Saccharomyces cerevisiae S288C: one gene and its partner. Changing the gene in region 1 together with any one later gene gives a genetic interaction. Each region holds a gene or a part of one and is shown in the gene's direction. Other genes may lie near its edges.

What was found. Genes that interact genetically often act in the same process or in processes that back each other up.
Region 2: mutations in RMT2 (region 1) and FIT3 together harm fitness more than expected from each alone (negative genetic interaction), as found in Saccharomyces cerevisiae (2 studies listed by BioGRID).

Annotation. Positions count from the first base shown.
Region 1 is NC_001136.10:1,391,287-1,397,265, reverse strand, and holds RMT2 (protein-arginine N5-methyltransferase), read left to right. Parts: upstream 1-2,691; coding exon 2,692-3,930; downstream 3,931-5,979. Other genes in the region: protein kinase PKH3, read right to left, coding at 1-2,145; SPP41 (Spp41p), read right to left, coding at 4,087-5,979. UniProt on the Saccharomyces cerevisiae protein: S-adenosyl-L-methionine-dependent protein-arginine N-methyltransferase that methylates the delta-nitrogen atom of arginine residues to form N5-methylarginine (type IV) in target proteins. Monomethylates ribosomal protein L12 (RPL12A/RPL12B) at 'Arg-67'.
Region 2 is NC_001147.6:1,059,941-1,062,833, reverse strand, and holds FIT3 (Fit3p), read left to right. Parts: upstream 1-1,778; coding exon 1,779-2,393; downstream 2,394-2,893. Other genes in the region: FRE5 (putative ferric-chelate reductase), read right to left, coding at 1-1,270; FIT2 (Fit2p), read right to left, coding at 2,842-2,893. UniProt on the Saccharomyces cerevisiae protein: Involved in the uptake of non-siderophore and siderophore sources of iron. Has a role in the retention of iron in the cell wall and periplasmic space.

The DNA of each region.
Region 1 (5,979 bases):
ATTGTTCTGGCTTCCATTTTTTGCAGTATAGCTGAGTGTTGTTACATTATTTCCTATACTCAGAGGCCGCTCTTTTCTTGAAATAGGCGGAGGTGATGATGGTTCACTCGATGCCTTACTATCAAAGGAAACGTTACTGATTTTATCAAGAATTTGCTTTTCTTCTAGTAGTTGTCTTGCTCTGAAAAAGCAATCGACCCAATTTTCATTGTTATTTATTGTCGAAGACTTCACGGCATTGAATGGTATTTTGGATAACGTTGAATATGAAGGTAGCGAGATAAACCATATTCTATTCTTATATTTTTCCAGGATTAAAAAACCCTTCCTTGTCAACTCATTGAATTCAAAATCGTACATGGACAAGTCTGTATCTTCTATATTAGCCATCTGGTGTTCTTTGTTTTCTTGATCATCATTTCCCTCCATAACTGTGTTTTTGTAACTTAACATTCCGCTCTTCTTCAAAGTCAATACCTGTAAAAACGACTCTGAGTTTTTTAATTCTTCTTTATGCTGCGCAACTAGTGACGTAATTAAATCATTATCGATCTTATTGTAGCTGTTCAAAGACATAGCAGGCCCTTCGTGTTCATATGGAATGCCATAAATGAAGACGTAGTCTTGTTTTAAAACATGAATATCAATTGAGTTTCTTCCATCTAAAGTGTGTGTTAAGTCCTGGTTCCTTATCTCTGTTGACGGCGCCGATAGAGCTGACGATGCTGACGATGTTGACAACTTTTGTGGTATTGATGATGTTTGCAAAGGTGGCACATTAGGCTTTGTGCGCGGAATTGACTTATTTCTCACGTTGTCATTAATTACCGGTACTTTGGGAGGTATTCTATTTGGTGCAACTAGTTGTGCTCGCTTGACTTGATTGGATTGTGAATTAGGCGGTAAGGCAATATTTGCAGTAGAATGTGCCGCCGTATTTGTTAATACATTGGTATCATTAGGGGCGGTCACTGCAGGCGTAGTGGACGGTACGGTGCCTAAATCATCCTTACCTGTTGATATACCAAGCCTTTTTCTCCATACTACTATGCTACTAGTAGTGTTGGAAATTTTCGTTGGTTTCTTACGTTTTTGTTTTGTGATTTGTATACTTCGTGCTGGAGTGTCAATTACATGTAATTGTCTGGTGGGTAGTATATTCTGCGGTATATTTGGGAGTCCCAAAGTAGTTTGTTGCAGCGATTGTCCTTGTGATTGCCAGATTCCTCTCCATATTTTGATTTTATCATTCCAATCTACTTTTGAAAAATATGGGTGTCTTTTTATCTGTTCGAGAGAGATTCTCTCATTGACCTCTATCACCAATATTTTTTGTACTAAGTTTATTACAAGGGGATTTATTGGTGATGTGCTATTATTGATGCGGTTATTGGGTCCCCATGGATAATCTAATGCTACGATTTTTTCAAATGTCTTCAGCTCATTCTCCCCTCTAAACGGCGGTTGTCCTTGGACAAACTGATATATCATGCAACCTAGTGCCCATATATCTGAGCCATAACCGCATTGGTTGTATAAAAGCAGCTCTGGAGAGACATATTCGGCAGTACCAACAAAGGAAGCGCAATTTTGGTTGTCTTTTGAGCCGTTGCTGTCAGAGTTAAACTTGGCCGAATCTCCGCTTAAACTAGGGTCTATGGTGGCAGCGGCCCCAAAATCAGTAATCATAAGTCTACCATCCCTGTCTAAAAGGACGTTTTCCGGTTTTAAGTCTCTATGAATGATGCCATGTGAATGGATAAATTCTAATGCATCAATTAACTGTGCAGTGAAATGACGCGTCCATATATCATTGAAAGTACCCATTTTGTGCAATAAGGAAAGTAGTTCTCCACCTGGGGCAAAATCCAAAACAAAATAAAGATTTTCCTCATCGTGAAAAGTATAGTATAGTTTGATTATACCCGCGTGATGCTTTTGTGCCAACAAATTCATGGTATTCTTTTCAATGGTGACATATTTTACCTTAGCTTCTTTGATTATGTGTTTCTTCGAACAAACTTTAATGGCATAAATTTTATTCGGGCTTTTTTTATCTAGAGCTTTAAACACAGTAGAGTAAGAGCCATGGCCCAGTTCCTCTTTAAATATGAAATCGTGCGGAGACCTTTTCCTAGACGTCATATGTCATACCAATGTCCCACACCTACTCTTTAAATTTTCACTCAATTGTTTCAGCCTCTGAATAGATAAGACGTGGAAGAACTGCTTACTTGCTTGGGTTAGGCTTTAGGCACTATTATTCTGTTTCCTCACACTTTCAAATCAATGTACCTCTCTTCTGCTGCCTTCATGAAAACCCCTTCGCTACCAAGAAATCACCGCGCGGGTAAGCATGAAAATTGTTTCGATCCATTGTTACCTCAATATGTGACATTAGCTGCGAGTAAGGAAGTTATATTGTTAACACTTTCAGTATCATCTCTAGTCATCAGTACGTGTGCTTGGGGTTGACCAATGCAGATATTTGTTTAGTGTATATAGGATTCGAAGGATTATAACGATTCTTTTCCTTTTTCGGCGAGAATCGATGGCACCTTTCTTTTTCTAAAATTTTTCAAAGCTCATCTCATCTCATTTTAAGCTAAGCGTAAAGCAAAATGACATTGACAATACCCAGCAGTTGCAACGGCTAGGTGTTTACACCAAGGACTTTTAATATATTCAAGTATGTCAGAATTACATGCTTTGCTTACTTTCCCAGAGAGGCCCATTTCTCAAAGTTACTATGTACCAAAACTGCAGCATTTCTTAAAATCTGGTATACCGGCTACATATACTTTGGAGCAGGTCGCAGCCTTCGAGCATGAGGAAAAGAACAGGAACGGGGATAAGGAATTCAGAGAGAGCACTGACGACAATAAAACCTCAAACACAACGCCGTTACACGTTTTAGCAAGATCGCTACCCTTGGATATCAAGGATGAGGAACTGCAAGTGGTGATGGATATGATGAATATTCTTTTTGAGTATGGGGCTGGATGGAATTTTATTGACTACGAGGACAAAACAGTGGGTGATTTGTTTTTAGAGAGAAATCAAAGTAGGGAGAGCCCTCTTTATAGACGGCTCGTGGAAGCTGGTGTGTCTGCTGAATTATTACTGAGAAAACTCAATGGTGGCGACGTCGAATTCTTGGATACAGATGAACTAATAGGTATCGAGCCTGAGGAAAGCGTTCAAACAGCAGTTGATGGTCAAAAAGAAGAATCAGTTGGTAGTGATGACGATGCTACCGCGGCAAATCAACAAGTGTACTTAAAAACAGAACTAGAGTACAAAGACGATGCGCTTATCACAAAGGAAAATAAGGACGGTGTTATGATGGATTGGGAAACCAAGATTATGGAACTTGCTTCCGAAACCTTATTTCCTGATCCAGAGGCCACTAATTCTGCTACGATCTTAAACATTGGATTTGGAATGGGGATCATCGATACATTCATCCAAGCTCGAAAACCATATCGTCACTATATTTGCGAAGCTCATCCAGATGTTTTGGCCAAGATGAAAATGGATGGTTGGTATGAAAAGGATAATGTGGTTATTTTAGAGGGAAGATGGCAAGATACGTTGAATAATTTATTAGACAAAGGTGAAGTTTTCTTTGATGGTATTTATTATGATACATTTAGCGAGCACTACCAAGACATATTGGACTTATACGATGTCGTGGTAGGTTTAATTAAACCAGAAGGCGTTTTCTCATTTTTCAACGGATTAGGCGCTGACAGATCGTTGTGTTACGATGTATATAAAGAAATTGTTGAGATCGATGTTGCTACATATGGTATGAAATGCGATTACACCAGATATTCTCTTGACGAGCAATTGCCAGATTGGAATGATGTTAAGCGGTCTTACTTTAACTGTAACTATTATTACCATCCACGTATCACGTTTGCTTAATTATAGAATAATGTAAATTGCACAATGGCAGGGGCCGATTTCCAATACTAATATTAGTTTCGAAAATCGGAAGAAAAAACTATATACATTTGCTACTTTAAGTATATATGATTATGCAGAAATGGACATATGAACTAAATTATGTCTAGTAACACCTCAGTGTAAAATGCTTTTCTTTCTCTTCTTCTTTGGTTGTAAAGAGGCTAACTTCTCCTCCCTGAACGACTCTTGAATATCTTTTTCAATACAGCGTGCTTTGTTAAGGTTATTCATGTTTACCGCAAGAATATTCAAAATCTCCTTGTCGTCAATCACAATCTTCGTGTTGTTTGCTTGCGTCTCAGTAGTTTCAAGGCGATCCTTGTACTTTTCTTGACTTACCTTTTCTTGAAATCTTTCTTCGATCCATTTAGACTTCGTTTCTGATTCTCCTTCCCCAAAAAATGCGTTCGCACGCTTTTTTAATCTAGACTTTACGTCATATTCCCAGTTCTTGGTGGAGTTCATCTCTCTCCATCTCCGTTTCCTCACATTGTTAATCTCCTTCTTTAGACAACTCAACTCCGCCTCGGTCAATCTAGCCTTGGCAAATTTTAGGACTACACTACGCTTACTTTGTACCTCTTCTGGAGATGGTATATCGAATGTGTAAGTAATGGATTCGCTGTTTGCCTTTCCATCGGCTTCCGGTGCGGTAGTGGCGTCAGCAGAAAGCTTTTTAATGCGGCGGACACGTTTAGCTTTGGTAATACATCTACCCGATGGAGGCACTAGTCCATCCAAATTCAAAACCTGTCTTGGTGTTTTTTTCAGGTATTTTACGTTTTCATCTTCATACTGGTAGTTTTTAACATCAGTGGCTGTGATTTCGGGCAGAATATTAGTGATAGTAGAGGAAAGAATGTCGGTGATATTACTTCCCAAATCAACGGATTCATTCTTTATTTCGGGTATTTTGGTATTTACCAAATTTTGAACTAAATTAATAACGCTAACTTCAGGCTTAATTTGCGGTCTTTTTAAGGGAAATATGATGGGAATTTTTGGTTTTGCTTCATTTAACGGTTTGAGAGAAACATCAATTAATTTGGGCTTTCCTGTTGTCGTGTTTACACTGTCTGGTTCATTACCCGTAAGTTGGGCTGCATCAGAATGCAATGTAGACTTTTCATCTCCATCTTTCTTATCAGACAGGCTCGCATCTTCATTCAAATCTGTAGCAATTTTCTCACCTGGCTTCTTTTTATCCGTTTTTTCGACAGGAGATTCAATTAATATCCTCTTTTCATTTTTTGGATCCCCATTTGTCTTGTCTTCAGTTAGAGTAACTTCCTCAGAAGCCTTGGTACCGACATTCTCCTTAATTTCTTGTACGCTTTGGGTTTCTTTCGCTGTTTCAACATTATTTTCCACAGGTTCTACGCTCTCTGCCCTCTTCGTAAGTTCTAGTTTATCTTGTGATGGTTCTATAGTTGAAACCGCTATACTAACAGGAGGAACATTCGCATCGCTGTCTTCTATTTTAATTGGCGTAGTAACGCCCTTTAAAGTATGCCCAGCGATTGTAGAATTAGAGTGGGGATCGGGCGTGGCTTTATCAGGGGATTCAGAGCTGCTGATTTCTGTTCCTGCACTTCTGGCCGGTAATTGTTTGTCTAATTGTTGTTTCACTCGAGATGTATTGAAAATAGGAATCATTTTCAGCGGATTCTTCATTCGAGACGCAGTTGTTGCCAGTTCTGTGGTAGTTCCCTTAGAATGAGCGGCTTGCATACTGTTTTTCCTTGCTTGTAAAGCTGCCCTAATAACTGTAGACTTGGCATGTTGAATAATGGTTGCCAGCCGTTTCCTTGCCTCCTCAGGTGTGGCGCCAGCAGCTGTTTGCGATTTTGCAGCAGCTTTTAATGTATTTATTATCGGTAGTAATATGGCCGGTAAAATTCTGTTCCTAGTACTTGCCGTACCTTCTTTGGAGACACGAAAAGAATTATTGGTTCTCTTTCTATACTTTTTGATATTTGGTATTTTCTTTCTTCTAGCTACGGGTAG
Region 2 (2,893 bases), on another chromosome or scaffold:
TTGCAATCTTTATTAGCCGCAGAATACGGTCAGCAATCCAAAACAGTGCACACGCCATTATCCATTCACCCCATCCAAGTTTATAGCAATGTTTCCAGCACGCATGGAAAAATCCTATTGCTAAGATAATGTGCGTAATAACAAACAATTCGTAATAATGTCGTCTAAAGAAGAAGAACGAAAAAAACACAAGTATTCCAACAATGATCATGGCATGTCTTCCGGATGTCCATAGATCACTATACTTCACGTATTTCCAGTAATTTTCTATGTATGCATGGTAGGTGTATCCTATTGCATGGATCGTACAGTCTACTAACATGAATCTTCCTAACCATTTGTGGTAAGTAATGAATGCGGTATATCTTATACCTGTGAGCCAAGTCATTGTGCTGTTTTTACCGCCAAAGAGAACTATCAAAGGAAAATGTGCGAATGCCAGGATCCCTGCCCTGTCGGAAAGGAAGATAAGCACTTGGCTTCTGCGATCACTGAGCAACTCATTATGGTCAAAATTGTAACTACTCAACAAGAACCCGTGCAACAAAACGTAACCGAATAGGACAAGGGTCTCTAACCTGGTAGGGACCAGACCGATGAAAAACCACCTTCCCACTGACATAGCATGGTTATGAACAAGCGCTGGAAGAACATAGTGGCCTCTTAAGAAAGCAGACACCTTGTTTTTGAACACCGTTTGTTTAAGTCGAGAAAAGTTCAAGAAGTGATATACAGCTGCAATAAACAGAACTCCTATCCAGTATAAGCAAATCGTCACTCCATAAACATTTCCTTTGTCTATATTATCCAGGGGCCCAAAATAAGCCCATACCCACCTATCTAGAGAGGCTTTATTGGGAGTGACGGGATATCGTATGTTTTCCTTTACCTCATCAAGAGGCCGGATGAAAAGGGATGCATTGGCAAAAATTCGATAATACTCCTCATTGCTGACGACCTCATCTTTGTGATAATCGTGGCAATACTGATTAATTTTGCTAAACGTTTTTTCGAATATTTTTTTACTTTTCTTCCTACTGTCGAGAACATCCTTCGCGCAATGTAACCAAGACCCTAGTGCTGGTTCATAAGTGCAAAGAGTAGCGTGCCGACCCTTCACATCCGTGTCAAATTTGTGTGATTCCAATTCTTTAGCACAAGCATCAATTGCTATCTGGTCCCATTGCGTTCTTTTCTTAGTTGATGCTGGTTTTGCTAAAGAACCTGGTGCCAAATACACCAACAGCAGCACTAATCTAGCGAAAAGCATTCGAAATCTGGGTGAATTAAATTAACTGCGACAAAATTGGTGATGTGACATACCGAAAACGCTACATTACACATTTGCCAAGTAAAAAATTGACGCTCCTTTTTTAATGATCGCTAATGTAATGAAAAGTAAAAATCCAATTAAACGAGGAAGCGGTAAAATATGATTGCTGTGTAGTAATGCCACAGTCTTCTTAGTCCTACCTATGTCCTAGATTTTTTTTTGCACCCTGTTTGTTCCGCACCCCGCTATCCCATATTTTTTGATGTATGTGAAGGAAAGCAATCTAAGGGCTCAAGAGCCGAGTTCCGCCATTCTAGGAAAGGGTGCAAAAAAATGGGGTTCAATTATCGTTCGAGATTTGTTATTTTTTTTTTTGTAAAAGTTGATTTATGGGGTATTTAAGCCAAGAACTATTTGAAGTATTAGGAGGTAATATGAATGTTCGAACAGATACAAACAAGTACTTCCACTCGCTTAAAAATAACTAATAACAATAATCCCTAAAATGAAATTCTCTTCCGCTTTGGTTCTATCTGCTGTTGCCGCTACTGCTCTTGCTGAGAGTATCACCACCACCATCACTGCCACCAAGAACGGTCATGTCTACACTAAGACTGTCACCCAAGATGCTACTTTTGTTTGGGGTGGTGAAGACTCTTACGCCAGCAGCACTTCTGCCGCTGAATCTTCTGCCGCCGAAACTTCTGCCGCCGAAACCTCTGCTGCCGCTACCACTTCTGCTGCCGCTACCACTTCTGCTGCTGAGACTTCTTCTGCTGCTGAGACTTCTTCTGCTGATGAAGGTTCTGGTTCTAGTATCACTACCACTATCACTGCCACCAAGAACGGTCACGTCTACACTAAGACTGTCACCCAAGATGCTACTTTTGTCTGGACTGGTGAAGGCAGCAGCAACACCTGGTCTCCAAGTAGTACTTCTACCAGCTCAGAAGCTGCTACCTCTTCTGCTTCAACCACTGCAACCACCACTGCTGAAACTTCTTCCTCTGCTACATCCTCTAGCACCGCTGAATTATCTAGTTACACCGGTGCTGCTGATGCCATCACCGCTGGTACTGGTTTGATGGGTGCTGCCCTTGCTGCCGTCATGTTATTGTAAATGATATGTGAATAATCATGCGGGATATCCGATTTTTATGAAGCACCTTGCGGCTTGGCCTTTTTTCGAAGTTATGTTAGAATAAAAAAATTTTAATAACACACATTAAGTATGTATGTATATATACTGTTTCAAGTTCGTTGGTCTTCCTTTAATTGTTTGAAACGGTTAAAAGTATCTAATTAAAATAAATATACCCGAAATCATACTAAAAAAATAGTTAATATTAATAAAAGTAATGATAATAATAATAATAACAATAATAATAATACGATGATGATGATGAAACGAAAAACTGCTACATTGAAGTCACTGAGAAACGTAATGAAAAAAAGTCCTTTTTACTAGCCTTTTGAAGGAGAAAGACAATTATATTAGCTTTTCATAGATAAGTTATAAATATGCTATACACGATAACTAATAGCTTTTTTCTGGTTTGAAACCGAGCTTATAATAGGTAAGAAATCAAACCAAGGGCCAATGCACCGACACTTGCTCCT